4 linked regions of the Notamacropus eugenii genome follow. The protein of the gene in region 3 interacts with the protein of the main gene of each other region in a pairwise test. Links are inferred from orthologs where the notes say so. Each region holds a gene or a part of one and is shown on either strand. Other genes may lie near its edges.

Region 1 (7,624 bases), on a different chromosome or scaffold from region 3:
ATTCAGCAAAATAACATAAAACTATCACAAGACCCATTATTCACACTTGATTATTTTGAAGATAAAGATTCAAAATGCTTGACGGACATCAAGATTCATATGTTCACTGACCCTAAAACTACCTCTTATGATTCCTTTTTTTTCTTTTTCACCTCTAGACTATGAAAGATGAATGCTACAAGGACAGCAGTACTGGTTTGGAGCTAAGTCACCTGAATATATTCCATCTTTTTTATTAGCTTAGAAGTGATCAAATGCCCATCAATGAAAGATCAATGGATTTGAGGGACGCGGCTAAAGAACAGGAAAAGCATGAACTTCTGACACCAAAAGGACCAAAATACTAATGAGATTTCCAGACACCTCAAAATTTTGTGACCTAATATAAATTCAGGAGGAATCAAAAGAAGCATTTTACTAAAATCATTAGATAAATGTTTTACCTAAGCATTTTACTTTAAATTGTGGTTGATGAGTAAATAATAACAGCTAAAGATCTGTGGGAAAATATATCAAATTGTACCTAGGTTCTGATATCTTAAAGTCATGAACTAAAAACTGTGTTTCCTACCAGAATACTTTGTTTAAAAAAAAAAAGCATTTAATGGAAAAGCATGCTACTCTATCAGCCATGTCAATGAGGTATCCTGTCTGCTCAAGCGATAAAACACCTGACGGCAGCTTTCAGTAACTGCAGGCAAAGTACCTAAAAGGAAATATTCTCTGCAAACATTAGAAACATTATAATGCTCCAGAAAAAAAATAATTTCCCAAATAACAGCAATATCACTGAGTAATAAGTTGTCTAGTCACAGGATCCTAGGTCTCAACTAGACAGGAATACCTAGAAAAAAGATAGCATACCACAGCAGAAAAAGCTTCACCAGTCTTGTCGGTCAGAAAGCCTGTGATAGAATACTGATTCTGCTACTTATTAGCTTAATAACCTTAAGCAAGTCACTGGACACCTCTATGGGCCTCTAGTTCCTCATCTGTACAATATAGTCACTGGCCTAAATGACCTTTAAGGTCACTCCCAGCTAGCTATAATTCTGGGTGTGTAATTTCCTGAATGAGAACCAGGGATTGCACATACAACTGTCATAAAAAACAAAGTTTTAAAGAACTCTAAGAGTTCCAACATCTCATACCCTGAGATTATCAGAACTACAATTATCAAACATTTAACCCCATTCTTGGCATGAGGGGTTGTGTTAAGTCTCTAAAAGAAAAAGAAGAGGTTAAGATCTTGGCTATTCATTGTTGCTCACCAACCAATCATGTCACGCACATAGCCTTTGGAACACTTCAATACTAATGCTTTTTTTATTATGTTTGGAAAAGGGACACCATACCATTTGTAGGTTTTCAGCAGTAACAGTGAGAAGACCACACAAAAACACCTGAATTTGGATCACCTCCATGGGTTCAATGTCTAGGTCCACATCAAAAACATAAAAAATCATCTTTGTTGAGGGGCTAGAAACTTATCATCAGTCCTGAGTTTTCCTAAAGCAACTGTCACCTTAAACACTGCCTTAACAAAATGTTCTCTCTGATAGATGCTTTTTCTTCTGATGATTAAAAAAATTTGTCACTTGCTAACCAATAGTGCCAAGTGCACAATTTAAAAAGCCAAAGATAAAAGTGTCACCTTAAACCTATATTCTTAAACGAGATTTTACTCGGTCTTCCTTTTTTCTAAAAAGTTAAGTCTTTGACAAAAGCTACAGAACCTCTGGCAAGGCTGGACAAGTTTTTACTTGCCTCCAAAATTACTGTGCACTTAGTTCATCTAACAAAAGAGATCTTCATCTAGCTTCATTTTAAATTATTCTTATTTTTCTGGACAACCTACAAAAACAAACTCTCAAGAGTAAATTCTTGTAGATTTCAATATCCTGCCTACTTATAAGAGCGGAAGAGTCAAACACAGCAGGGGAAAAAATGTGACGCGTATAGCCTTGATCCAAAACCCAGCTTGTGGGTCTAATTTTAGGCCTAACCATTCTGATTGTGTCCTTTTGCAAAGGAGGCAAAACATGTCTAGATTATTAGATAGAAATCGATGAATCACCATATAGCGGGAAATAAATCTCCTGTTGCATAAAGAGGATATTCTCTCTCACCCCCAATAAAAGGACGACCACAAACTATACTCTAACCAGGAAACTAGAAGTACTTTCCAGACATCAATACTCGGGTCATTCAGTACTTAAAAGACTTGTGCAAAATGATGAATCCACTTAAGAAGTTTTTATTCTAGGAGTGCCCCCCCCCCCAAAAAAAAGAAATTTAAGTAGCTGAAAGCAGCAAGTTCATGCTCAGTAACTTCAAGTTAATTTAAGGTTACCTACAGAAGTCCACAACTCGCCTCCTGGCACAGTGGGATTAAAATGGGAATGATCAGAAATGAGACCTAAGGAGTTGTTGCTACAGAGGTGGGGATGGATTTGTGGACCAGGAGTTTCAGCTGCTGCGGTTTGTGGGAAGGGAGATAGCAGATTGGGGTTAAGGGCTGGGCAGAGATTCAACGGACCCATGTCCAGAGCCCAAAGAGGGAGGACAGGAGGGATCGCTGGGAACTGTCGGGAAGGAGAGAAACTGGCCGGACTCCAAAGGGGCCACGAGGAAAAGAAAAAGACGTGTGAGTGGAAGGGAGAGATAAGTGGAGAGCAGAGGGGCAGAGGCTCGGGGCAGGTCAGGGGCAGGACGACCCCCACTCCCGTCCAACTTCTCGGCCCTCCCGCCCAACTTCTCGGCCCTCCCTTCCCCCAGAAGCAGAGAAGGGGAAGAAGTCTGCCCCGGGGGAGCAAACAATAAGCAGCCACCGCCCCGGGACGCAGGTGGCGGCGGCGGCCGAGCCGGGGTGCCTGGCGCGGGGGAGGGGGCGCCAAGCCTCACTTACCGCGGCCACGGAGAGAAGCGTCCCCGCCCCTGCGAGGCGCCTGGGTCAGCGTCTCCTCCTGCGACCGCCGGGACGCAAGCCCCGCGCGCCCCGCCTGGCTGGCTGGCTGGCTCCGGAGCCGCCCCGGGAGGGCGCGGCAAGGGAGAGCAGGGTAGGGGGGGGACCGGGAGCCGGCCTCGCAACTCGAGGCCCCCTGCCCCGGGACACTACTGCGGTCGCCCTCGCTACTAGGCCGTGCTGCCGCCCCGAGCGCCCCAGTGCAGGCAGGGCAGGGGAGGCAGCCTTGGGCAATGGCGACCGCCGGGGCCTGAGGGGAAGCGGAACAACCGCCGCCGCCGCTGCTGCTGCGCGTGGCCACAACCCTAGAGGAGGGAGGGGGGACGAGGAGAGCTCAGGGGAGGAGGCGTCAACAACTGCAGCGCCCCGCAGGCTGTGCCGAGCGGGAGCCGTCGCCTCTCCTGGGTCAAACCGCGCCCCTCAAACCCGATTGGCCGCCGTCCGCGAAGGGAACAAGAGGCTACTGGGAGTTGTAGTTCCCGGGTGGTTGGTGATTCAGAGCCCAGAGAGGCTGTGCAGTCTTTCATGTAGTGCAATCCCCTGTCTCCTAAAGGGCCTATGCCAATTCTGCTCTATTTGGGGAATTCACCAGATAGTTAGGATATACATAAATCCTATGCACACGTCAATGCTAATTTTTTTTTATTATGCATGAAAAAGGCTTACCATTTCTAGTCTGAGAGTCCTCTGAAGTGATATGCCACCTTCTAAATCCATTTAGGTGTTTACCTACCAAATCTTGATGTCCAAAACACAATGCTTTCTGATAGTAAGCACTAAATAAATTTTTTATTCATTCATTCAAAAAAGTCATTCTACTTAAATGAACTGATGCAAAGTAAAGTGAGCAAAAATAGAACATTGTATACAATAACAGCAACGTTGTAACAATGATCAAAGATGAAAGACTTAAACATTGTAACATAGACAAGGATCCAAGACAGTTCCAAAGGACCCATGATGAAAAATGCTATCCACCCTCCAGAGAAAACTGACAAACTCTGCTGGCATTTTGAAGTATACTTTTTTTTTACTTTACTTTTCTTCCTTTTTGATGTGTTTTCTTTTGCAACATGTCTAATAGGAAAATGTTTTGTATTTTGCATTTGTGGGAAAGAGGGAGAAAATTTGAAACTCAATTTTTTTTTTAAATTAATGTTGATTTTGTTTTTACATGTAACTGGGAAAGTGTGCATGTGTGTGTGTGTATTTTAAGTCATTCCTGAACCCAGGCCTCAGTTTCCCCATGATGTATATAATCAATATTTTATTGCATTGCAGTACAATGGAAGGTTTTTTGGTTGCTTAGTGGTATCCAACTCTTTGTAACCCCATTTGAGGTTTTCTTGGCAAAAATACTAGAATGGTTTGCCCAGGTATATACAGCCAGTGTCATAATGCTTCCTGACTTCAGACCCGGTACTCTATACATTTTACCACCTAGTTGCCCCACAAAAAGGAAGCAGGAGACCTCCAAAAACAAACCACCTACTTCAAAATTTGGATCCACCTTCCCTCATCCGAAGTCAAGTATAATGATCACTTAACTGTCCTCACCCTATTCCTTATTCTGCCTGAAGCAGCAAAATGAAATGAGCGGAAGAATGTCAGGATGCAGTGAACTAGGCCTGTGGTATACTTGAATGCTTTTCAGAGACAGATCCAGGATGTACAGACAAAAGATTTGTGGCATTCAGTTTTGTAGAAGTAACATGATAAGGTAGAAAGAACAAACTGGGAGAATCAATGGTAAACTGGAATTATGTCTTGGTCTTGCCTTTAATACTATCTACGTGATATTGTGCAAGTCACTGTCTCCACCTCGATTTCCTTATCTGTCCAATAAAGAAAGGGGAAATAGATTTATCTATCAAGCCCACCCAACTGGTAACATTCTGTAACTATATAACTTGAAAATATGACCTCAGAGAAATCACTTCCCATCTTATTATACTTTCCACATCTGTAAAATGAGGTATAATAGCTGGACTAGGTAATCTTTAAAATTCCTTGCAGTTCCATGAGTTGATTCTTCCTGTAAAATCATTTTAGGAGACACTGTACTTCAAGAAGCAAGCACTCTAGAAAGCCACAAAATTGCATAGCAACTTTGAGGTTTGGTAAATTTTTAACAGTTAAACCTAGCCCTTTAATGCTAAATCTCTTTAAAAAATCAAAGGTACCCATAAGAAAAAAATAACAGATCAAAAAATGTAATTGGCCCATAGAAATTTTGCCTTTTCAATTATCAAATCAAAGAATGAAGCCCCAACTCATCTCTGCACTGGAGTGAAAAAAAATACTGATTAAGCACTTACTATGTGCCAGGCATTGGGCTTAGGACTGTGTGTATTACAAGCAAGCAAGTCCTACCCTTAAGAAACTGACAATGCAATTGAGGGGGGGGGGAAAGGGAGAGAGGGAGGGAGAGAGAGGGAGGAAGGGGGCGGGAGAGAGAGAGAGATGGAAGTATATATCTATCTACTTATCATCTATCTATCTTTGAGCTAGAAACTGGGATGGGAGGATGTTCCAGAAGTGGTCTGGAAATGATGTGGTAGCCTGATTCTGGGCAAGATAAGGTCCTGGGTCCAACTATAAAGCCTCTGAGAAAGATAAACCCTCTTTGAAGGTATTTATCTTTGGAAAACAGTAGAAAGCCATATTTTAGGATGGCTTCTACAATACCCCAGCTGCTTCTTTTTTGTGATAAATGCTGCTACATAACCTATATTACTATACTATGTTCTTCATACAATAAAATATTTACTGATATTAACAGGATTTTTTACTGAGTCAGTATCTAAACTGAGAATGACGAAACAGCAAGCCAGAGACAAAGTGCCAACAATCAAGCAGCAGTTTAATTAATTAGTTTCATTGTGAGAAACAGATTTGCAAATTGGGAATTCTCCTGATCTTACATGTTTATGTATATACCACACACATATATCACATTGTATTTACTCTACCAAAAAGCATAGTTATAATATATCCTGACTGAAAAATCTAGGAAGACTTATATGAATTGATATAAAGTGAAGTGAGTAGAACCAGGGGAACACTATACACAGAAACAGCAATATTGTAATGGTGATCAACTGTTAAAGATTTGGGTATTCTGATCAAGACAATGATTCCAAATCCCAAGACAATCCCAAACAATTCATGATGAAAAATGGTATCCACCCCCAGAGAGAGAACTGATGAACTCTGAATGCCAACTGAAGCATACTTTTTTTACTTTATTTTTTTGGGGGAGGTTTTGTGTCTTCTTTAGCAACACAGCCAATATGGAAATATGTTTTGTGTGATTTACATGTATCATAGATACAATATTGCTTACCTTCTCAAGGGGTGGGTGAGGGGCAGGAGGAAGGGAGAGAATTTGGAACTCAAAATTTTTAAAAATGAATGTTAAAACAATTTTTTCAAGTAATTGGGAAATATTTAACACAATAGATAAAAATATATTTTTAAAAAATAATATGCTCTGATTTATTGGTTAGCAGCACATTTACTTCAGGGTTATTTTGAGGTTCGCCTACTGTTATTCTTACTTCCTATTTTTTTTAACCAAATAAAGCAGGGACTAGGCCTCCATTTTTAAAAATCAATGTATAATAATCTTATTATGAGACATACAAGGTTTCATAGAAGATCTTCTTTAATGAGCAGACTGAGCTGTGTTCCCTCACACTTCTCTTATACTAAAGCTTATTAAGTAACTTCATTATTTTTCCTTCCCCACCATTAACAGATGTATATAAATCCAGAAGCAATATAATAAAAGAGAAATAGGATGCCACTGAGTATGGTAAGTTTTGCTATTAGCAATAACAGTCTCTGGTGTTAATTTTGCTTCTCCCTAAACCATTGGATGTTTTCTAATGTTTTTCAAAAAAATTAATTGTCAATCAAATGTCTGATTAGAAATACTGTGCCCTCATCTGTAATGCTTTCTCTGATTTCTATTAACATCTGTTAGTTAATAATATCAAAAAATATAAGAAATTCATTTCTCTGAAAATAGAACTCATTTTTCTCTTCTAATTCAATTAACACATATTACACTAAGAGCAAAGAGCTACCTCAGGCTGTGAGGCAAATACAAAGATAAATAAGACATGATTCTTTACACTCAAAGGGCTTACAATCTTGTAACTGACCCTATTCTTTGAAAAATAATTTATCCATTTAACAGAATTAAATTGTTTATATTGGCACTTGATACTTGAGAAATTACCAAGCACAAATGCAGCATAAATTTCTGTATTAAGTAAAAATTAGGTGAAATTATTTACAAAACACCATTCTACATTTTTTATTTAACTGTTCTCAACAAAACTAAAATACATTACTGTCAATTAAAAGGAATGCCATAATTCTAGAATACTACCAACTATTACATTACATTCTCACAGGGAGAAATGACCATGTTTGAAGATGGCTCTGAGTATAAGACCAGAACATAAGATTGTAACAAGCAGAGTTATGACACATACGAAAAGACAATGTACTCGCAGCCCCACTGGAACCTGTAGTATCACATTCTGATTTACCTACGGAGAGAGGGTAGACAAGTTCAATTTAAGATTAGAGGAACACTCTAAATGCACATTCAAAAGAGAGCTTACATTTACTCAGTTTGGTGGATTT
Region 2 (7,604 bases), on a different chromosome or scaffold from region 3:
CAATAACTTGAGATAATAATTCGCTTTTTTGAAATACAGTTTTTCATTCTGGCCTTTACTTAATTGCCTGTTTTCCGAAAAGCCCAGTTGTGCATAAGCTCTTCCATTCTTACTCATTTTCTCTCAACAGTGGTAGAGAGTACAGAATAAATATTTAGAGGTAAGCTCCCTCTTACTTTAAATTAACATAGACAATACCTATACAACATTGGGCTGTAATAATTACTGTTTTGTTATAAAGCAGATATAAATATTATCAAACTAAAAACATTTTTTAGATGAAGAGAGCTCAGCAAGAAAACAGTGAGATGTCATAATAGGAAGCATATTAAAAAAATATGTGACCCTTGACTGTAGTCACTTTTTACTAATGATACTGAAGCAATTATAAAAGTCCATTCTGTTCCCAGCTCCTACAGACTTCTCTGTTGCCTCCTCTCCTACAGACTTTGGTATCTGTGTGGGAGAAGAGGAAGATTTCTAAGGAATATTCTCTGTGCTGTTTTAACTGTCCCATTCCACTCCCTTCAGATCTGGAGATTGGATCAAAATGATCTGGTGAAAACCATAAGAAAGTAACAGGAAAACCGAGTAATTCTATTACACCTAATTTTCTCTTATAGCTCTAACTGTGAGGGAACATGTGCTTGAAGACAATTAACCAATAATAAGAAAGGTAGCACAGCAGTGGAAATGTCTGGAGTCAGAGGTTCTGGGTTCAAATCTCAGTTCTGTCAGCAACCTGACTGATTGTGGGCAACATCACTGATTTCAGTTTGTTCACCTGTAAAAATGATGTGGTTGGACTCGATGGCTTTTGAGGCTCCTTGCAGCTCTACAACCTATGATTCTGTTTACTGAGTTATTTTTCAGTCACCTCCAACTCTCTGTGACTCCATTTGAGATTTTCCTGGCAAAGATACTGGAGTGGTTTGCCATTTTCTTCTCCAGCTCACTTTTTACAGATAAGGTAACTGAGGCAAACAAGCTTAACTGTCCATGGTCACACAATTAGTAGGTGTCTGAGGCTGGATTTGAACTCATGAAGATGACTCCTGACTCCTGATCAGGTACTCTATCCACTGTGCCATCTAGCTGCCCTTGATTCTATGATAAGTACCTGCTTATAGGTACTGAGTGAGGTTCTGGGGATACCAAGATAAAAAGAGGCTATAATGGAAAGAAGACTGACTCTGGTTTTAGAAGGCTTAGGTCCAAATCCTACCTCTGATGCTTACTAAGTTTTCTCATATGCAAAAATTAAGAGTTTGGATTAGAATAGCTGAAAATCTATGTCTGTATGTCCCTAGGCAAGTAACATAACCTCCATGGGCCTTAGATCTCTTATGTGTAAAATGAGGGACTTGAAGTAGATATTGTCTGAGATCTTGTACAGTTCTACATGATAAGTCAGAATCCTTCACCTCAGGAAGCCATTTCTGATAACTTTCCAGACCAGGATGACATGAGCCAATTAGTGTTACCACAGGACATTATTTTCATTGCTATTACTAGCCAAAACCATGCCTTCTAATTAAAGGGATGCTCCATCCTTACTTTGCCTCCTCTTTAAACTACTACTGCCTTTTCACCCTTCATAACTCTTGGGTTTTTGTTGTTTTTCACTCATTTCAGTCATATTCAACTCTTTGTGACCCCCTTTGGAGTTTTCTTGGCAAAGATACTGGAATGGTTTGTCATTTTCTTATCTTGCTGATTTTACAGATGAGGAAACTGAGGCAAATACAGTTCAATTACTTCCCCAGGGTCACACAGCTAGTAAGTGTCTGAGGTTGGATTTGGACTCAGGTCTTCCTGACTCCCGGTTTGGTGCTATATCCACTGTGCCACCTAGCTGCCCTAAAGTTTATTTAGGGTAGGTTTATTTAAATTTATTGAACTTGAATCTATTAAGCATTATCAAGTTAGATGCACACTTTAACAGTAACCTGGCTCTCTCAAAAGGACTCTCTCCTCTACTAAGTATTCTACCCATGCATATATAAACATCTTTTCTGCAATTTAAAACTTAAAGAGCTTTCTGGACCTTGGAAGGCTTTGCACAGGGTCACAGAGCTAGTATGTATCAGAGGCAAGACTTGAACACAGGTTTTCTGACTGAAAGTCCATTTCTCCAGATATAACATAATACTGCCTCTCTTTCAATAAAAAATAATAAAATAATTGATTTTAAAATAAATGTTTGACATAAAAATGCAAGTATCTAAAATTAATTTGCCTTTATGTCAGAGGATAATGATCCCCCCCCCCCTTTTTTCAAGACATTAGCCTGTTATGGATAACAGGTTTGATAATTTGATAAATATACTTAATGTTCAATAACAATGATAAGCTTGGATGAAAGTGACTTTATTTACCTCTAAAATCTTAAGGCTGAACATTTTGTGAACTGTACATTTAGAAAAATTAAACCTCCCTAAAGCTCCTTTCTGAAAACAGTGTCAAACAAAAGAAGCCAGACTACTTGATGGCATTGTTAGCATTTTCTCACTGGAAAAAAAAATCAAAGTCTAAAGACACTGTCTAAGTAGCTGAAGGGTTTTTTCCCTTGGAACTCAGTGCAAACCGTTACTACATACCTCATTGTTTTCAAGCAGAGACAGATGTTTAAATAATCCTGGACTCCAGCAGTTTCAAGTTTTAAAACATAGCATTCCCTCTCTAGTTTATAACAATTAGATGCTCACTTTTAGGTTTCCAGAAATAAAACATACCTTTTTTTGCAGGGAGGAAATCCTTTGAAAGTTCTGTCAGTCCATTGGTAAATCTAGCAGTGAAAAACAAGTGGAATGTATAGCTATGAGAACAGGAAAAAAAAAAATTTCCAGCTCTGTGAATTTCACTCCTTTAGGAGACACCAAAGCGGGAACAACAATTCAGCACAGCAACACTAAAGGCTCTTTGAATTCTTCACTACTTTTACAGAGTGAAAAAAAAACAAAACAACAGTTCAGCTCAGCGTCAGACCAGCAGCTGGGACTGGTGTGACGTCAGTTATGGGGAGGATGGCCTTAGAGACACCTCTTCCAACCCCAGCTCTGTAACTTTAGATCTGTTCATATTTTGTGTAAACAACTTTAGGTCCAGGACATTTTTAGCTTTATAGTGTAGCCCAGCATTTTCAAGCACGCCAAAAGAACTGATGTTAATATCAAACGGATGACAATGGCCCATTTTAGATCCTTTTTGTTAGGGAAATTTAACTCTTGTTTTCAAGATCTTGATTTTTTTTTTAACTACATGCAATCTCAATGTATATATGTCAATGTCTCCTGAAGTTGTGTGGCTAGGTTCTGGTACACCAAATCAGGCATTCTCTACTTACTTGGTGGATTTCAAAGGCAGGGTATGTGGGGTGGGGGGAAAGGGGAGAGAAGGGGCATATTGTTCTTTCCAACTCTACAGTGCTCATACTCTAGGATTAAAAACCTAGCCATTTCTAATTTTTTTATATGAAGTACCACTTGGAAAATATGTTTCTTCTCAGATGATATACGACATGTTTCTCTTCATACTTCCCTATGCCATTCTCCAAGCTAGTAATTCTTTTTTTTTTTAATGCTACTACTATATACTGCTTTAAGGTTTACAAAACACTTTACCTATATTATCATAGTTAATCCTTACCATAATTCTGTGAGGTTTCATGTCAAGAGACTGAGGTTCATAGAAATTGTCACCTGTACCAAGTCATACAGCTCAGAAAAGTCTACGGTGGAATTTGAATTTAGGTTTTCCTAACTCCAAGTCTTGTGCACTCTCTAATACACCAAGCTGCCTCTTGAAGCATTTATAGCTCTTTCTGTCCATGTCTGTATTGTGTGAAGGAGCAATGCAGCAAGAAGGGCTGCTAGGTGGCACAGTGTATTACAGTGCAGTCCTGGAGTCAGGAAGACTCATCTTCATGGGTTCCAATCCAGCCTCAGACACTTACTAGCTGTGTGACCCTGGGCAATTCACTTAACCCTGTTTGCCTCAGTTTCCTCATCTGTAAAATGAGCTGGAGAAGGAAATGGCAAACCATTCCAGTATCTTTGCCAAGAAAATCCTAAATGGGGTCATGAAGAGTTGGACATGATTGAACAGCAAAAAAATGCATTCCTTACTGTCATAATAAGATTGACCCTGTTAAATGTTTGCTCCATTTTGATAAACTCTTCAGCAGATTTCTAGCTCAAATTTGTCAATAAAGCAAACTTTACATATCTTGTCAACTGAGACCAGAACGTAAGCAGCATAAGACACAGTGTAGAAAGCATACAAGTGATTGCAAATATTTTTTAAGTGCCAGCAGTGGGCAGTATTGATGTACTTACAGAATGCTGGACTTGGATTCAGAAGGAAATAGTTTTGAATTCCTCTTCAGATAGCTGCATGCCCTTGGGCAAATCAGTTTCATAATCTGTAACACTTGTATAATAAGAACTCTGATGTGTTAGGGTTGTAAGGATCAGATGAACTAGACTATATGTAAAGTACTACGTGAATATAGTTACTATTGATTTTACTATTGTTACCATTAGGTGCCCTTTACCTTCCTAAGATTTTTTTGGCACAACACTTTTGCTCCTTTCTCTCTGTCTCTGTCTCTCTCTGTTGTCTCTCTCTCTGTTGTCTCTCTCTCTCTGTCTCTCTACACACACACACACACACACACACACACATAGTTATACATAGTTACGTGTGTGTGTATGTATGCATTAATAGATTTGAGTAATAAAAGCTGTGAATGCTTTTTATATCGTAGATATATGTATGTAATTGGTCTATGTTTGGAAGGGTCACTAGAGTTCTCATCTTTTGGTTATAAATATGTGATGCCTTCTGTTAAGTAAATGTACCAAAGAGAATACTGGTAAAGTATTATTATTGTGACTGTTGTTACTGCTGCTGCTGCTACTACTGCTACTATCACTACCACTACTACTACTACTACCACTACTACTACTGCTGCTGCTGCTGCTGCTGCTATTACTATGGTAATGACAACTACTACTACCGCTACCACCTATGTTCAAGCTCTACCTCTTATACATATTGACCGTATGACCTATGCAAGTCATTTATCTTCTTAGTGCTCTATACAACCTTTTAAGATAATCAGTTGCAGAAAAAGTACCGACCTGCACTGGAATATCACCGAAATCCCAGGGTTGGTCTTATCTAACAATAAACACAACAACAGTATAGCGTGGTGGATCTGGATTGAAAAGACTTTGGGTTTAGATCAAGGCAGACTTAAGCAATCCACTCTTACTTCCCTGGGCCTTAATTTCTTCTATAAAATGGGAGGATTGGATTGGATGACCTCTAAAGTGCTTTCAGCTCTAAATCTATGATTTTTTGTAGTTTTATTTGTTCCCACTCATGTAGATTGGGCCAAAGAAAGTACCTTTTTTAACTGGTTACCCAGAAATGAGGAAGAAAATTCTATTGATGCTTAAAGATTAAGCTATAAGAATCTAAGTCTTCGTTGGCCCTGTTTTTGATACATTTCCTGTAACAGAAGTTAAAAGAGTCCTGTAAAAAGATACATCTCCAGTAATCTCCATGGTTTTGTCTGTTTATAGATGAGCATTACTTCCACGAGAAATAACTGGAATAGAGGTCGTGGTGGGAAAGACTTTATGTAGACAGCAAGAAGATATTGGAGGTATATAATCACTAGTGAACATGCCTACTGTTCAGTGCTCTGCCCTTGGTCTTCTCTTCTCTCCTACCCTCAGTTATCTCATCCACTATCATAAATTTAATGCTCACCTATGTAAAGGACTCTTCTAAAATTTCTGTTGCTAGTTCCACTTTTTGTCCTGAGTTCCAATCTCCATTTCCAATTGTCTACTGGACATCCCCATGTAAATCCTAAAATATGTCCCAAAATGAACTCATTGTTTCTGGATACCATTTTTTCCTTTAACATTTCTATTTCTGGTGATGACATCACCATTCTGCTCACCACCCAGATCTAAAACCTAACCATCAGTTTTGACTAATCCACATGCACGTCCAATCCATTGTCAAGCCCTCTGATTTCTACCTTTGACATATTTCCCCCTTTTTACCCATCTCAATACTTTCTGAATATCTACAATGATTCTCCTAACTGGCTTTCTTACCTCCAATCTCTTTTTCAAGCCATCCTTCCCACGGCTACCATGGTAGTCTTCTTAATTCATTGACTTGCTCACTCCATTCCCTAGCTTAAAAAATCATCAGTTGTTTTCTATTGGTTGCTGAATAAAATAAAAACTCAAATTGGCCTTCAAAGCTGTCCACAATCTGGCTCTGGACTATCCTTGCAGATATTTTATGGTCCTCTATTCCACACAGCCTGCACTCTGGCCTAAGCCAACTTCTTGTTAATCATTAATTTTTCTTGAGCTTTCATAAATTTTCACACACTTGGATAGGACCCTCCTCCCCAAGATAACACTGATTGAAATCCTTTTTGTCTTTTGAGATCCAACTTAGGTACCAAGTTCTCTATGAATGTTTCTCAAATTTCACCAGTTAAAAGACAAAATCCCTCCCCAAATCTCTAATGGTACCATGATTCATATCTCTTAAGAATGGAATCTTTTTCTAAATAGTATTATATTATTTTTTCTGTATCTAATAAAAAACAGCTAGCATTTATACAGTATTTTAAAGTTGGCAAAGCACTTTATATATTATCTTATTTGACAAAATATTTCATTTGATATCCCCTACTAGACAGTTTGATTTTGACAGCAAGGATTATGTCATCTTTATCTTTGTATCTTCAATACCTAGCAGAAGGTTTTATACAATCAGCCAGACAATTAACATCTATTGATCACCTGTTATGTTCTAGATACTGTGTTAAGCCCTGGAAGTTCAAAGCCAGGCAAAACTAAACAAAACAAAAAACAGTCCTTGATCTAAAAGAGCTCACAGCCTAACAGGGAACACAACATGCAAACGTTATCTATTAGGCTAATAATTCTTTATTGAATTGAATTAAATTGAGGGCAATTTAAACCAAGGTAACTGATAACATTATGTTCACTCACACTTGGCCTCTGGGGTTTGCTGTATTATTTGTATATCAAACTTAATAAAGGTTGTTTTCTAAATCCTTCCAGCTTTGGTTATGTTGCATAAGAGGTGATTCATAACAGTAAACCTCAAGGAGGAATTCTTTCCTTTTCCCTTTTAAAACAAGTTTCAATGAATAATTAACATAGGTGCTTTGTGTCAAGGCAAGAGACTCAGCAACTATGTTTAGATAGCATCAGTGGCTCTGATTGGATCTTGACAGGTCCGCTAGTCCAGCTCTAGGATGCCATGAGCAAGGTCATATCTAAACCATCCCAGACAGATGACAGTTAGTTCTATTTTAAAAAATCTCTAAAGAAATAGATTCCACAGTGTCTATTACCTGCTCACTCCAATGTTTAACAACCCTTGCTACTGGAAAATCCCTCCTTATATATGTTATGGTCCTTGTGCTACCATTTACACATGAAGAGCAAAAAAGGAGCCAGTTGAAGTGACAAGACTCATGAGGCAAATAGTTTCTCGGTGTATCTTTAAATCCTTTCAGGAAAAATAAGAACAAC
Region 3 (7,079 bases):
TGGGGGGAAGGGGGGGTGTGGAGGACCAGGGTGAGGGAAAGGGTAAGAGAGAAGAGGGATGGCAAGAAGCAGGGGAGGATGGGAAATGCCTGGGTCATCCAATCATCCAGGCATACCCCATGGGGATCTCAAAGCACTTTATGACTTCCTAACCCTGAAAAGAGAAATGGAAACAGCTGTTGGGCACAGCAACAAAGGAAGGAAGGAGAGAAACTAGTCTAGCTTGGCTATATGCCCCAAGTGAGAACAGGCAGGGTCCCTCCCCTTAGTACCAAGACCAAGCAGTGCCTCTTGGGTGAGGGGTAGAAATCATCTTCCCTGAGTCAGGAGTTAAGCATGAAATGGTCATAGCCTTTTCTATTTCAGCTTTCCTTCCCAGGGACTCTGGGGAGTTCAGAATGCCAATGGGGACTGGCCTGCCTTCAAATCTTGGGCTCTGGATGCTCTCTCTCTTTCTCTCTCTCACTGTTTCTCTCTGCATGTTTATCTTTCCCTTGGTCTCTCTCTGTCTCTATCTCTGACTGTTTCTCTCTATCTGTATATTTCTCTCTCCCTTGGTCTCTCTCCCTGTTTCTATATGTACGTTTATCTCTCCCTTGGTCTGTCTCATCTTCTCTGCTTTCCTTCTGCTTTCTTAACCTTTCTATTTTTCTCCTTACTCATTTCTACAAGTCTTTCCCTCTGCTTTCCTTCCTGTATTTGTCTCTTTTTCTTGTCTCTGTTTCTTCTTCTTTGCTCTGTCTCTGTGTTTAGGTTTGTGTCTCTGTCCCTTTTTGTCTATCTGTCTGTCTTCCAGACCTGTTCTTGCTGATCCACAGAATGAGGCCATAGTAGAGAATGGCTTATCTCTGGAAATCAGCAGTGGGTGTAGAAGAGGTGATCAGCTCTGTGAGGAGAAAGCCCCCATAGGGGTAGGCAGCAGGAGAAGGTGGAAGACTTGGAGAGGGGGAGGAGGAGGCTGGGGGAAAGGGAGGAAGCAGGTGGAAGATGAAGGGAAGGTGGTCCCTGTGCTGGGTGATGGCGACATGAGACCTGGACTCTTCTTGAAAATTTAAATACAAAGTGTAGGCTGAAATCATGGGTTGACATGGGACTTCCTTCCACCCTACCCCACCCCAGCTAGAGTCACAGGACTTGCCTGCGTCACACTGGCACCTCCTGAGTTGAGTCCAAGTCATTTGTGGGTGGCTTCCACACTCACAAAGGGCAGCATTCGCAAAAGGAGGAAAAGAGGGAGTCCTGTATGCTGGGAAGATGCATGCCCATGGCCAGAGTGGGGATTTCACATGAGCAGTGCACTGGGGGGGCATGGGATGGGGAACTTGTCACTCTCTTGTTCACTTGTAATGAAGTCCCAGAAATCAGGAAGGTCAGGGAAGCAGGCCCCCTATTGTGAGCCACTTATACTTGCTGGGGCTTGGAGCAGGAGCTTGCCTGTTGCTTTTTTGTGCCCATTAGACTGTTGGGGGTGGGGAGGAGTGGGAAGTGAAGGCATTCACCAGCTGGATTCAATTAGGACTAAGGGCAATGCCACATCAGCAGATCAACTCACATCAAAGCTTTCTCCAATTCTTTCTTTTCTAAACATTATGCAGGGGGACACTGAGGCATGACTAAGGAGAGCTTGGCTGAGGGCTGACAGCCTGGAAGTATCAGGCCTTAACTTCTCAGTGCTCTGAGTTATATCATCATCATCATCAATTGACCCTGGATTCTCCTTTCTCTTGACGTTCTCTGACTTCCTTGACCTCTAGGAGGAATTCAGAGTGGATAATTTCCCTTCAAGCAGGCTGGACAATTCCTTTGTTTTCCAGTGTGGCAGAGAAGGCCTTGGAGTTAGGAAGGTTCCCATCCTGACTCTACTGTACGTGTGACCCAAAGCTAGTCACTTAACCCCACAGTTCTCTCTATGACTCAGAGAGAAAGTGGGAATATGCACTAGGAGAAGGAATTTCTTATCTGGGAGTTCCAAGTTTAGTCCCCACCCCTAGTCCTGATCACTAGGCTGTTTTCAGGAGGCAAAGACTGTGTCTGTTTTCCAATATTCCCTTTCCCCCTAAAACAATGTTCTCAATGTTTCCTTTCCCATCCTACCTCATTCTCCCTAATGGGGAGAATGGGCCCAGTTACCCCAGTCCCTTAAAGCAATAAGAATTTACATACACTTTGCCCATTCAGGCCTCTACATTCTTGACCACCAGTATCCCTAGGAGTTAGAGGTAGGGGTAAAGTGGGAACAGAGAGGGAGAGGTACTTCATTTAGGGAGAAATGGAAGCAAAGGGCCTTGATCTACATCCATCCCACCAGATGATGCAGGGATGGGATCAGAAGTAAACCAGGTCTGACTCCCAGATCAGCACTCTGTCTACTTCCTGTGAGCTTGACAGAATTCTCCAGTCCTTTTGGCAAGTCCTCTTTAATTTAAAGGCTTGACTCTGGGACTACAGCAATCAATGTAGTACTACTTGGAGGTTTTTTGTCCTTGTCCAGGACAATACATGGGAAAATAAATGGGGTGGTGGTGGTTAATCTCAGCTCCTTCTCTCTTCCCCATTTCCCCCCAAGAAGACAAGAAAAGGCTTCCCAGGTAAGCTTATATTTTCTTTGAACAGCAAGGTGCTAGGAGCAAGATGACCCCAGTCCTCTTCCCAATTTCTTTTCTCTGTACCTCAGTTTCCCTGAGCATAGGAAGAGGGCCCAGCTGCTTTTCTGTGGACTCCAGAGGGAGGAGCCAGTCTGCCTTCCCTTTGTCTGGTTCGAGGGATTGGCTGTTCTTCCCTCCTTGATCCCTCCCCTCCCTGACCTCAGCCTCTCCTCCTTTGCCCCCTCCTCCTCCTCTTTGGCACCTACCTGCAGAAGAACTGGTGGAGAGGATGGAGAGTCCATGAGGGAGAAAGCATTCCCTCCAGCCTCCACCTTGAGCCCACAGCTGTGGGCCTCTGGGGAGGCTGCCAGGAAGGGGAGAAGTCTGGGGTGTGTTCTCTCTCCCTCGTGACTGGGGCAGAATAAGACTCTTATAGGGTGGGTGGGTGGGTGGGAGGGGAGGAAGGAGAGGCAGTGAGACAGAGTCAGAGTCACAGAGAAAATGGGGAACTGGAGTGTGGGTGTGAGATAGAGAGGACAGAGAGATAACAAAGAGAAAGAGTCAAATCAGCAGGGAGTCTGCAAGCTGGAGAGAGGGAGGAAGGGAGGGAAGAGAGAAAGAAGGGAGGGAACCAAGCAGAGAGTTTCCAATCTCTGGCCTGTTTGCAGCAGGGTGGGGTGTAGGGAAAAGTCATACTTTTTGTCTGTAGCTTTTTCCCCTCCCTCCTCATGTTGTGTGTTTATGTGTGTTGTGGGGGTTGGGGTGGGGGAAAACTGGAAGGGGGGGTGTAATTTGGTCAGGAGGCTATAGGCAAGCAAGTGCCCATCTCCTGGGGAAGGGAGAGCTGCTCTCATTTCAAGGGTGGGACCGAGGCAGAGGAGAGGCAGGGAGATCACCCAGTGATCAGGGTGGGGCGTGTTTAGAGGAGGAGGAGTCCTGGGGGTCCCAGGGGACCACAAGAACCTTTCCCAGCAGCTTTCCTTCTGTGCCCTGTGGAGCCTTTGGCACCAGAGTGGGGCTACTCAGAGTTTCCAGCAACATTTCCAGAATGGGTGTGTGGGGTGTGCTCCTCTGGTCCTGGAGCCCGCCTTTAGTGCAGGAATGATGAATAAGACGGACAGTCGCAGTGAGACACAGGGATAGAAACTGAGAGCCCCAGAGACAGAAATAAGAGACAGTGAAGCAAAGAGACTGACACAAACAGGGCACGGCTGCAGCACAATTAGAGGTATAAAAGAGGTGTGAATAGTGAAATTTATACACATATACACAGCCGTGGAGAAACAAGGACTTGGCAGACGTACGTTTACACATATACATACGCATGCAATGGGCCAATAGAGCGGGAACACATGGAGGAAGGCTGCCCTGGGCTGGAAGGATTTTCTCTTAAGGAAATGGTACAGGGGAGGGGCTGGGGTAAGCCAGCCTGGGAGGGCGGATGAGGGTGGAGGCCCACCCCTGACGGTAGTGGGGTGGTCCGCATGTTCCCAGGCAGCGGACAACACGTTTTGATCTTGTTGTCTTTCCGATGTTCCTGTTGCTCCTGGCTCTGCTCCTAAGAACCTACGCCCATTGACTCCCTAGACTCATTCCACTCCCTCTTAACCTGTGCTGCTGCTACCATTTTTCATTAGTATCCCTCCTGCCTTCATCCATGACTCTGGTTCTGTTTGGTCTTCTAAATAGTCAGATGAAGCTTAGGGACAGAAAGGAATGGAGAAGGATCCCCCTGACCATAGCTGTTGAGAGAATGGGAGGAAACAGGGATGCTGGAGGAGTGGCAGGAACAAGCACAGTGATGCTCCATCTCTGGATCTTGGCAGGGAGTATTTAAAGAGCTTTTGGCCTGGGGAAAGGAAGAAAAGAGAACTTGTTTGTAAGCTGAGCTCAGGCAACCAGGTTGACTTTGACCATCCCAGGGGAACATGTTCCAGAGACATTAAGTCCCAGTTGGAACCCTCACACTGTTCTCTGCACCTTAGAAATAGCTCTAATCCCAAGGGGAGCTCAGAAAACAGGCCACTCCTACAACCCATACCCTCCTCCATGTCCCCTCTGTTCCAAGGGACACAGGCACCAATCCAGCTTCTGAAAGAAATGGGATTGCCAAGTTTCATGGGATGACATACACAGTACAGTGCAAAGAGTTTGGAACTGGGAACTAGGAGACCTGGGCTCCATTCTTTGCCAGGCCTGTTTCTTTCCCTATAAAACAAGAACTATAACACTGACCCACTCGTTGTACCAAATATAGCACTTGCCCTGTTCATACCACGAATGATCAGGAGGTAGGCTTCAGGACTCCGGAGGAGGGCATCCCAGCCTGAAGAACTCTGGGCAGCTCCCTCAACCCTGAGGTTAGCAGCCACAGAGTAGGCCTAGGAGCCCAACCTATGGTAGGTCCTTCCTCCTTCTTTAGGTCACAGTGCACTGAGAGAGTAAAACTTCTCTAAGGCCCTTTGTTCCTCCAACATGAGATATTTTATGAAAGGGATAAGCAGGAATGGGGATCCATTCCCAAAGAACATGAACATGAACAGTGGTGACTGGTATCTCTAACTTGGTTTCCCTGTTGTAACTTAATCAGAAGTGTGTGGGGGGTTTAGAGCACTCCTTTTCTTCTTCGCAATGAAAAGTTAGGGGATGGAGTGGGTGGGCATTGTGTGAGGATTCGTTGAAAAGAGGAACTAACAAGGACTAAGCAATGATCTTTTTTTAAAGAGGCCTGGGACTTAACCCTTCCTTGGGAACATCCACCCCGATCTCCCTGCCTTTGAAGATACTGCCTTCATTCACTCCCTCTGCCCTAAACATTATCCCCACCCAGGGGAAACCAGCCAAAAAGGCTCCCAGGCCTGCACAGGGATCTGTTGCCTTCTCCTTACTTGCTCTCCAGGGCTGGCACTGGACATCCTTGATTGCCTGTGATCCTGACCAGAACACTACTTGCCAGCAGCAGAGTCCCCTTATTCTCCAGGGCTCTAGCCTAGACTCCAAGACAAATATTTAACACAGAGGTTGTGGCTGAGCTGACTAATGTCCTGACTTCCTGTTTGTCATGAGGGAGGGTCATGGAGCTTGAGGATGGTCTACCAGTCTCATTCATCACTGTGGGAATAGGCACTTGAGTAAACAGACTGGGGGGAGGTAAGTGGGGAGGGGGGTGTAAATTGTGGAAGAGGGGCTAAATGGACCCACCCTCTTCTGACTTCTTGATTCCTATGTAAATGAACTTTGGCCTGCCAATTCAAGGCCCCAAGCTCAACTGGGTTTATTAAATGACACGAAGCAGGCAAAACAAAGCACGTCATGTGTGCATTTGGGCACCATCACTTTCTCTTCCTGGTTTTTTTTCCTTCTTTTCTCCTGTAACCTCTAACCAGGCCGGCTGCCTGGCTGCAGCCGCTGGAAAGGATGCCCTCTCTATCACCCATACTGCCTCACAGAGAGGTCAAGGGAGTGAGGGAAATACTCAGAGCTTCCCAGAGTATGAAGCAGGAGAAACCTACAGATTTCTATCTTTTTGGAGAGGACAGGATAAACTCTTCCATCTGGAAACCCCAGGCCTCAGGTTTCTCAGCTCCTCCGTCCGGTCTCAGCTGTGATTGTTCTGGCTCACTTCATCAGGCATTCACTCTTTCTCTCCCCTCCCCTCCAGGGGAGGGATGGGGGTAGGGATTCTATTTGTTTTTGGGGAGCTTGCTACTGCTGTTCCAGCTGCCCAGCACTACAACAGCTTGCTCTTCTTTTCCCAGCTACTTGATGCAGCAGCCACAGGTGTTTTTTGCTTCAAGCCCTCAAAAGCTATCCCACCTCCTTTGCTGTCTTTTCTTTTCTTTTGCATGTTATATAACGTGTGTAAATAGAAATCTATCCGTCCTCTACACCTATTATAATAGGTGGCATTTACATAACAGCACTTGAAGGTTAGCAAATCACTTTACATACACCATACGTCACTGAAGCCTCAGGAACCTGTCAGGTAGATATTTTGCCCCAAGGAAGGGAGAAGGGGAGGGATAGAGAGAGGGGGGGGAAGGGAGGGAAGGAGAGGGAGAGGGGGAGGGAGGGAGAGGGGGAGGGAGAGAGAGAATGTAGAGGGAGGGATGCTCCCCCTCCATGATAAACATCAAACATCAGCAACTGGTCAGTAACTTAAAAGTCAGCTGTCTGAGGAGCCCACTATGACATGCTGCCGGTATGTGTCAGAGGTAGGCTCTAACAAGGGAGCCTTGAGGGTGATTTGGTGACAGGGGCTACAAGCATTTTATGGATGAGTGCTTTGAGGCTCAGAATCTGCTTTCACAGCTAATAAGCATCAGAGATAGGGTCTAAACTCAAGCATTCCCAACTCCCAAGTCCAGAGAGCTTTCTACTAGACCACATTGCCTCTCTAATGGCAGGAGATGGCTCAGCCAAGAGATTGCCATGGCAATGAATCTGTGGCCATGAGCAGGGGAGGTTGTTCATACTGACAGAGGGAGGGACTGG
Region 4 (7,915 bases), on a different chromosome or scaffold from region 3:
CAAAATGGAGAACAAAGTTCAGTTCAGAAATCAAACTCATTCAATAAAAATAAGAAAGTACCATCTTCCTGAGCATCAAACTAAGTCTCAGTGACACATTAGTAAACCAAGGGGTCTTATCAAGAAGGTATAGAAGAAAAAAAATTTTTCATTCTTTAATGATTTTTGTTGGGGGGTGGCTGTATCTGAGGAAATACTTTATTAAATAAGACTTCCATTTTTTGGCACAAAGTTTTCTGGATCTGCTTTCAAAGGAACTAAAAGCAATCAGTCATTGCTTTATTTTCTCCATGTCAGCTTAAAGAATACTAAATTAGTTTTACTTCTAAGTTCTTCAACACATGTATAGCTTTCTCAGTTCTGTTGCACACAACAGAAGTTTTTCTTTAGTGTGAAAGAGGAAAAAGTTCTACGATCAGGAAGTTGTTAAAAATTTGGGTCCAAGTCAAAGCATCATTTAAGATCTTTTGTTATTTCTAAAATATGGTCCCTGGCCCAGAAATAAATCCAGATCTAAATCTGTTTAAGAAAAAGAACAAAGTACTAACAAAAATCACCAATTACCTAACACACCAAACGCATAATGGATCAAGGATTAACGCTAAGTTCCTCTATAACCAGCAGGGGTAAAGACCCAGTTATAAGGTTCACTTGTCCTGAATTTTAAAAGAATATGAAATGGTTTGGTTTGGAGGAAGGCCACAGAGCACAATAAAAAAACTCTCCTATCACCCTTCACTAAAGTATAGGGTTTCAAAAGATTACATCTTCCCCTTAATTGTTTTATAAGACAACATTAGAAATACCTAAAATAGACAGAAGTAGTGGCTGTAGCCCCCATCTTCTACACACACCCCTTTTTCAATTTAGATTCTCCAAAGAATTCCCCAAAGTTACTCATGTCATATTCCCAGGCTTCCAGGGCAGACAATATATAATGATCTCATCATGGAAAACCCCGTGAACAGCTTTTAATAGAGGTGGAGACCCCAATGAATCAGGAAGGAAAATGGAACAGTTGGGGAGGAAATGGCCTGTTAAAACCTCTCAAATATGAATTCAAAATAATATAATTAACATTAAGTTGATTTTGAAGCTGATTTTTACTCTATCCCCCTCTCCACCTTCATGTGGGTCTTAGTAGGGTAATGAATAAAACATAATAACTATATAACTTTCCCTAACCTTCACTTCTTTCATTTTTTTCTCTTAGGAAGTCACAACCATCCCATTTTTTTCTGGGGGTGGGGGAAGAAACAAGCAAAGGAAACCAACGAACAGAAAGAAAAGAGTCAGAAACATTGAAAACGACAATTTATGTGGCACCACTAGAGCTGGCCCTGTCTGCAACTGCCTTCTGTTCACTCAAGAAGCACCAGCTTCTTAAGATATCTCTGAGGAGGTTTTCTATCCTTCTTTCATCCTGCAAACCACATGTAAGGGAATGGATGTGCGGATGCCAAGGCATATTTATGATGCAACAAACATGAAAAAAGCAGTCATGTTAGCTAATTACATGAAGCATTTGGGGAGACTTCTATATACTTGCACAAGGACAGGATCATAGGAGAGTGTCTATGGATGTTAGCTATTAGAAACTTTGAGAGAGATAAAGACAGAGGGAGGGAAGGGGGAGAGAGAGGAAGAAAGAGAAGAAGAGAGAGGGAAAGAGGGAGAAAAAGAGAGGGAGATAGAATACAGAGTGAGGGAGAGAGGGAGAAAGAGATTGGGAGAGAGAAGGAGAGAGGTAGAGGGAGAAAGAGGAGAGAGAAGGGGGGAGAGAGAGAGAGAGACAAAGAGAGACAGAAAGAGACAGAGGGACAGAAAGAGAGAGAGGGAGAGAGAGAGATGGTTGAAGGGAGAGAAGGGAAGAAAGGAGGAAGGGATGGAGGAAAGAAAGAAAGATATTAAGAAAAAGAAAGAAAGAATTAAATGAGATAAATCCTCCAGACAAACGTACACTCTCCACATCCCCTTATAATACTCCTAATGAGGCTGGCTAACAGCCTTCCCCTTCTCTACCCTCTGCCCCAAGCCCAGGCACACACAAGCTGGGTGACCCTGGGAACGTCACCTAACACCTCAGCGTCCCAAGAAACTCTACGACTGCGAAGTCCTAAGAGCAAAGGGAGTTCCCCACAGGTATGAGGTTACGGGTCCACAAAGACAAGGGGCATCAAGGACCCCTCCAGGCTCCCCTTCCCCAACACGGGGGGCCACGAGCAGGGCTGGGGGAAGCAGCACCTGCAGGCACCTAGCGAGCAGATAATTAACAAGTGCTCGTTGGCCGCCGGACAGAAGGGGACGGCCTGCATTTGGGGGGCTCGAGAGGGGCCCGTGCTCGCGCACCCTCCCCGCCGTGCACCCCGAGGCTCGGAAGGAGAGGGCCTCTCTCGATCCGGCCCGGGGAGCCCCCTCCCCTAGTATCTGCTCCGGAGAGCAGCAGCCTGGCAGCAGCAGCGCAGACGGCAACGACGGCGGCCACGCAGCCCGGGCGCTCCTCGGGGCTGTGCCACCCCGGGGAAGTGGCTGCCCGTCTCGGTGCCTCAGGTTCTGCATCCCAGTGGGGGCGGCAGCTCCACGGGGCTGTGGTGTAGACGGACCTCCGGCCGACAGGACGCTGATCCTCAGCACGGCCCCCCCAGCTCCCCGGGGGGTCCTGTACGCACCTCCCAGGCGCCGGCAGCCCCCACTCCCCGCTAGGAGCAGCGCACACACGCGGGGCTGGGGCTCGGGTGGATCCCGGCCCCGGCCGTCCAGGACTCCCTCCCTCGCTAGCTCGCTCACCTCCCCGGCAGCTTAGCGCTCCTCTTCCAAAACTGCTTGCTGTTGTCTCCGGCCATGGCTCGGGCCCGGGGAGCGGGCTGTAGGCGGGGCCGGGGAGGGGGGGGAGCCGGAGAGACGCCCCCAGGACCCCGCCACCCGAGGGCCGCGCAAGGCCGCTTCCCTCCTGCTGCCGCCGCCGCCGCTGCCACAGCCGCCGGTCACCCGCTCCCACCTCCCGGGGGCGCCATGTTGGATGTGGGCGCCCCCCCTCCTCCTCACGACGCCGCGCCGCTGCCATTGGTCGACGGCGGGGGCCGTCGCCACGCAAGCCAATGAGGAGCGTGCGTCGTGTGGGCCGCCGAAGTCGAGAGTTACGTCAGGGGTCGGGCATACTTACAGGTGGGCAGCGGGGGAGGAGTCCTAGAGGATGGAGGGGCGGGACTTAGAAGCGCCAATCACCGGGAAGAGCTGGAGTAGGTAAAGAAACCTACACCTTGGTGAGAGAAAGAAGACACTTTTTTATTGAGTTGGGTCTCTTAGGACTCCGAGTTGACTTTTTTCTTTTCTTTTTCTTGTCCTCTTCTCTCCTCTCCTCTTTTTTTCTCTCTCTTCCTTTTCCCTTTCTTTTCCTTTTTCTTTCCTTTTTTTTTTTTGAGGGGGGTGTTGGCTGAGAGAGGGTCAAGGGAGGACCAGATGAGAAGTAGGAAAAGAACTCTTCTTCTAAAAGTTAGAAACTCGTGATGAAAAAATGTTATTCACCTCCAGAGAGAGAACTGATGAACTCAGTGCACACTGAAGGAAATTTTCTTACTTTTTTTTCTATATGGCTAATATGGAAATATTTTGCATGATTTCACAAATATAATGGATATCATTTGTTTGCCTAAGTGGGTGGGAGAGTGGTGGGAGGGAGAGAAAGAATTTGGAACTCAAAATTTAAAAAGAAAATTTCAAAAATAAATAAAAAATATTTTTAAAAATGAAATAAAAGTTAGGAAGTTAGTATTCCAATGTCCTAGCTCTCATCACCAGCTAATTGTCACTGCTCTATACACACAGTGAAAAACTTTCTCCTTCTGAACCACAACTTCCTTACCCACAAAGCAAAGAAAATGCCTTTGACTCAGGGCTACCACTTCTGCAACAAAAGAGCGGTTAGTTGATGAGAATCCCATTAAGCACTTAGAGAACTGGTGAGGTGTACCACATAAAAGAAGTAATCTTTGTCCCATGGAAGTTCACATACTAGATAGTCCACGTTCTTTCTATTACTTTGGGGAGGCAACCTGGTTTAGCGGATAGGGAGCTGGGGCCCCAAGCAAAAAGATTTAGGTTCAAGTCTCACTTCTGACACTACTGACTATATAGTGTTATAGTCACTGCTGCAGGCTGTTATCTAAAGTTGTAAAACTGTAGAAAAGACACTGACCTTTATTGGTAGAGGAAGGTCCCTATTCATTCAACCAACATACATTAAGCTTCTACCATATAGACAAGAATTACACAGGTTGAATGACCTACTATCAGTGTACAGAAAGATAATGTTGATATTGAATCATATTATGGAAAGAGCCCTCTCTAGGAAAGGCGAAAACCATGAACAGTTGACTATAATAGACAGTATTATGTAAGTGTACTGGAAATAGATAAAAGTGTTTTTTCAATAACGAGAGGGAAAGTCATTACCTCTTGATGACAACCCAGATGTTGGCACATCTGTATAATGGTGTAAGAAGTTGCATAGTGATTTCAGTCAAGAATTCATTGAAAACAGAGTGCCAAAAACTATTTTGTGGGAGGGCATGATTGCTCTCCATGGATTCAGTCACTAAAGTTAGAGAAGTACCCTCCAAAAATCGTTGTATTTAGAAAAACCTCCCTGACTCCATTTCTATTTTCAAACTGTACTATCTATTGGGATGAGTTTCTCATGCTTACTACTCAGGCATGACTTTCTTTCAAACTAACTTTTGTACCTTTCTTTAAGATACTTTTGTCCCATGACCTCAGTATTGAGATTTGAGATAGAGATCACTCAACTCATGCTTTTATAGACTTTGATCATGTCCTCTTACCTCTTCCCCGCATACTCCCACCAGATCTCTTATATTCCTGAGCTGTTATACTCAAACAGAAGCTGCTGCATCTATCCCTTTGATCATTGTTAACAGATATTTTCTAATTATGTCTCTCATGAAATGTTGTGATCAGAGCTGTACACAATATTCCATATATGGATATACCATGGTTTTGTGCAGGGTATAAAAAAATCTCTGGGCTAAGAGAACTTAGTTAACCTTATTCATAACAACAAAGTAGACCAAAAAGAGAATTCCTCTTGAAATGGGCCTGGGTATGCTTCTCATTTATTTCTTTCATTATCTCCACCAGGTAGTATCTAGAAAACTTTAGTATCTGATACTCCCTTAAGGGCAACCATCAGGGCAATCTTTACAACCATCAGGTTCACTGGGTTTCAAAACACAGAACAGTTCTATATATGGGGAACATAGAAAGACATTACATCCAAACTCAAAAGAATCAAACCCCCTCCCCCCACCTCATCACTACCTATCATCCAACCTTGCCTCCCAGGAACCTGTACAGTCCTTATGACTTACAATACTACCTTGAATGGTGCTCCAGAAAGTAGGAATGCCTCTGGATCTGTGTCCACACTTTGGTGTTCTGTTCCTGCCACCTTTTTTACCACTGATGTTCTCCAGTACTTGCTGTCTCACCATCCTCTCTTTTAATCTGCTTACTGGCTGTTGATATTTGCTACTTCCATAATCTTTAGCTCTTCAGTCTGTAAAGTAATTGCATTAGAGGAGCCTTAGTTGCCTGTATAACAGGCAACTATTTCTCTCCTCTGGGGCCAGAATGTCTCTAGGCTACTTATACCTTCTGTTGTTTTTAACACCTTAGTCTCAGGAGTCTCAGAGCACTACTCGGTACACTAAGGGCTCTTACACTATTTTGTGTCATGGACCCCTTTGGCAATCTGAAACTTACCAACAACCTTCTTAGAACAATGCTTTAAAATTAATTTAAATATATATATATATATATATATATATATATGATTACAAAGGCAGCCAATTATATCAAAATATAATTTTTTTAATTTAAAAAGTAGTTCTAAATCACTATTAATCAGAGAAATGCACATATAAACAACTCTGAGGTAACATCTCACACCTACCAGACTGGCTAACATGACAAAGGAGGAAAATGTTGAGGGGATATGGGAAAACTGGGACTCTAATGCATTGCTAATAGAGTTGTGAACTGATCCAACCATTCTGGGAAGCAATTTGGAATTATGCCCAAAGGGTTATAAAACTGTGCACTAGTAGGTCTATATTCCAAAGACGTGAAAACCTTTGTACAAAAATATTTATAGCAGCTCCTTTTTTTTTTTTTTTGAAATCGAGAGGATATCCATCAATTGGGGAATGGCTAAATAAGCTGTAGCATATGATTATAATGGAATATTAATTATGTTTTAAGAAATGAATGACAAGCAGGATTATTTCAGAAACACCTGGAAAGACTTACATGCACTGATACAAAGTGAGCAGAACCAGGAGAATGTTACACACAATAATCATAATATTGTACAACAAAGAGCTATGAATGACTTAGCTCTTCTCAGCAATACAATAGCCCAAGACAATCCACTAATGATGAAGCATATTCTCCACTTCCAAAGAAAAAACTGATACTGTCTGAATACAGACTGAAGCATGCTATTTTTCTCTTCTTTCTTTCCTTCTTTTTTTTATTTATCTTTTTATATAAAATGACTAATATGGACATGTTTTACATGATTGCACATGTATAAACTATATCAGATTGCTTACCACCTCAGGGAAGAATGAGGGGAGGGATAGAGGAAGGGAGGGATAGAATTTCAAACTCAAAACTCTAAAAAAAATTTAAAAATTGTTTTAATATGTATTTGGGGAAAATTTTATATTTTTTAAAATAAATGTTAGCAGGTTATCCTGAAAAAGAAAAAAGTCCCAGATTAAGAACCCCTACTGTAACTCAAAGCACTTAGGTATCCATTAAATTCTCCCATTTCTTTCCATTGTCCACTTTGAATCAGTTCACAATGAATCTCTTCCTTTTATCTCTTCCCTTCCCCAGTACCTGAGTTGTGTGTCTTCTGTTCAATTAGCACCTTCCATTTATTATCAGTGGGATTCAGAGGGTACTGGGAATCCCTTTGCATTTGCGAACCAGTTCTTTCCAGCAAAGGCAGTAAGGAAGAAAAAAGAATTTGAAGGTCCTTGCTGGAATGGGATAAAGATTTCTATTTATTTCTGATTACTTTCCTGATAATGTTGAGAGTTTTGTTGGGGCAACAATACGTTGAGTAGTGAAGTCTTTACAGCTGACATTCCACAACTGTAGCCATATACACTTCCCTAAGGAGACAATGCAAGTATACATCACTATCAGATATTTGGAGCTAAGATCAATTATCCATTTATCTAAATTTCAATATCTTTCAGCGTTGCTTTCAAATGACATTGTTGTGATCACTTATTTATTGTTTTCTAATTTATACTTTCATTGCTCCATATCAGTTCATTCAAGTCTTCTGTTTCCTGGAATTTCTCATATTCATTGTTCCTTATGTACAATAATATTCCATTACATTTGTGGAGCACAGTTTGTTTAACCATTTCCCAGTTGGTAGGTACCCACTAGGTTTTCGCTGTCCTCAAAAGTGCTGTTATTAATATTCTGGTCTCTCTATAAGGGATCTTTCTTTTGGTCTTTGACTTCCCTGAATATGATGGGGTCCAACAATGGGATGTCATGATCAAAGGGTGTAAAGAATTTAGTTATTTTTAGTTTTAGTTATTTTTCTTCAAATCAATAATTTGATTCCAAATTATTTTCTAGAATGGTTGGACTGAAGTTGCTAAATTTTATTATTTCTGAATCTACAACATCTCTCCTACATCCCCCTTATCTCAACTCTCACAGCCACTACCCTGATTTAGGCCTTCATAACCCTATTTTTTAAAGGACTCCTTTTTAAAATTATACTTTAAGTGAACAATCTCCCACTGCCTCTCTTCCCTTTCTCCCCATTGAGGAATCAAGAAAAACAGAATTTCTTTTACAAACA

What was found.
Region 1: the proteins of SORBS3 (region 3) and PAK2 interact in binary tests that used the Homo sapiens proteins (3 or more experiments, as listed by UniProt). The two-hybrid records come from large-scale screens. The link is inferred for Notamacropus eugenii from reciprocal best matches to the Homo sapiens genes SORBS3 and PAK2.
Region 2: the proteins of SORBS3 (region 3) and KIAA0408 interact in binary tests that used the Homo sapiens proteins (3 or more experiments, as listed by UniProt). The two-hybrid records come from large-scale screens. The link is inferred for Notamacropus eugenii from reciprocal best matches to the Homo sapiens genes SORBS3 and KIAA0408.
Region 4: the proteins of SORBS3 (region 3) and TBC1D22B interact in binary tests that used the Homo sapiens proteins (3 or more experiments, as listed by UniProt). The link is inferred for Notamacropus eugenii from reciprocal best matches to the Homo sapiens genes SORBS3 and TBC1D22B.

Annotation. Positions count from the first base shown.
Region 1 is NC_092876.1:335,605,567-335,613,190, forward strand, and holds the start of PAK2 (serine/threonine-protein kinase PAK 2), read right to left. Parts: upstream 3,021-7,624; 5' UTR 2,909-3,020; intron 1-2,908. Other genes in the region: PIGX (phosphatidylinositol-glycan biosynthesis class X protein), read right to left, coding at 7,384-7,527. UniProt on the Homo sapiens protein: Serine/threonine protein kinase that plays a role in a variety of different signaling pathways including cytoskeleton regulation, cell motility, cell cycle progression, apoptosis or proliferation.
Region 2 is NC_092873.1:211,372,331-211,379,934, forward strand, and holds the start of KIAA0408 (uncharacterized protein KIAA0408 homolog), read right to left. Parts: upstream 3,008-7,604; 5' UTR 2,736-3,007; intron 1-2,735.
Region 3 is NC_092872.1:612,075,203-612,082,281, forward strand, and holds the start of SORBS3 (vinexin), read right to left. Parts: upstream 3,006-7,079; 5' UTR 2,888-3,005; coding exon 2,852-2,887; intron 1-2,851. UniProt on the Homo sapiens protein: Vinexin alpha isoform promotes up-regulation of actin stress fiber formation. Vinexin beta isoform plays a role in cell spreading and enhances the activation of JNK/SAPK in response to EGF stimulation by using its third SH3 domain.
Region 4 is NC_092873.1:94,914,882-94,922,796, reverse strand, and holds the start of TBC1D22B (TBC1 domain family member 22B), read right to left. Parts: upstream 3,019-7,915; 5' UTR 2,844-3,018; coding exon 2,788-2,843; intron 1-2,787. UniProt on the Homo sapiens protein: May act as a GTPase-activating protein for Rab family protein(s).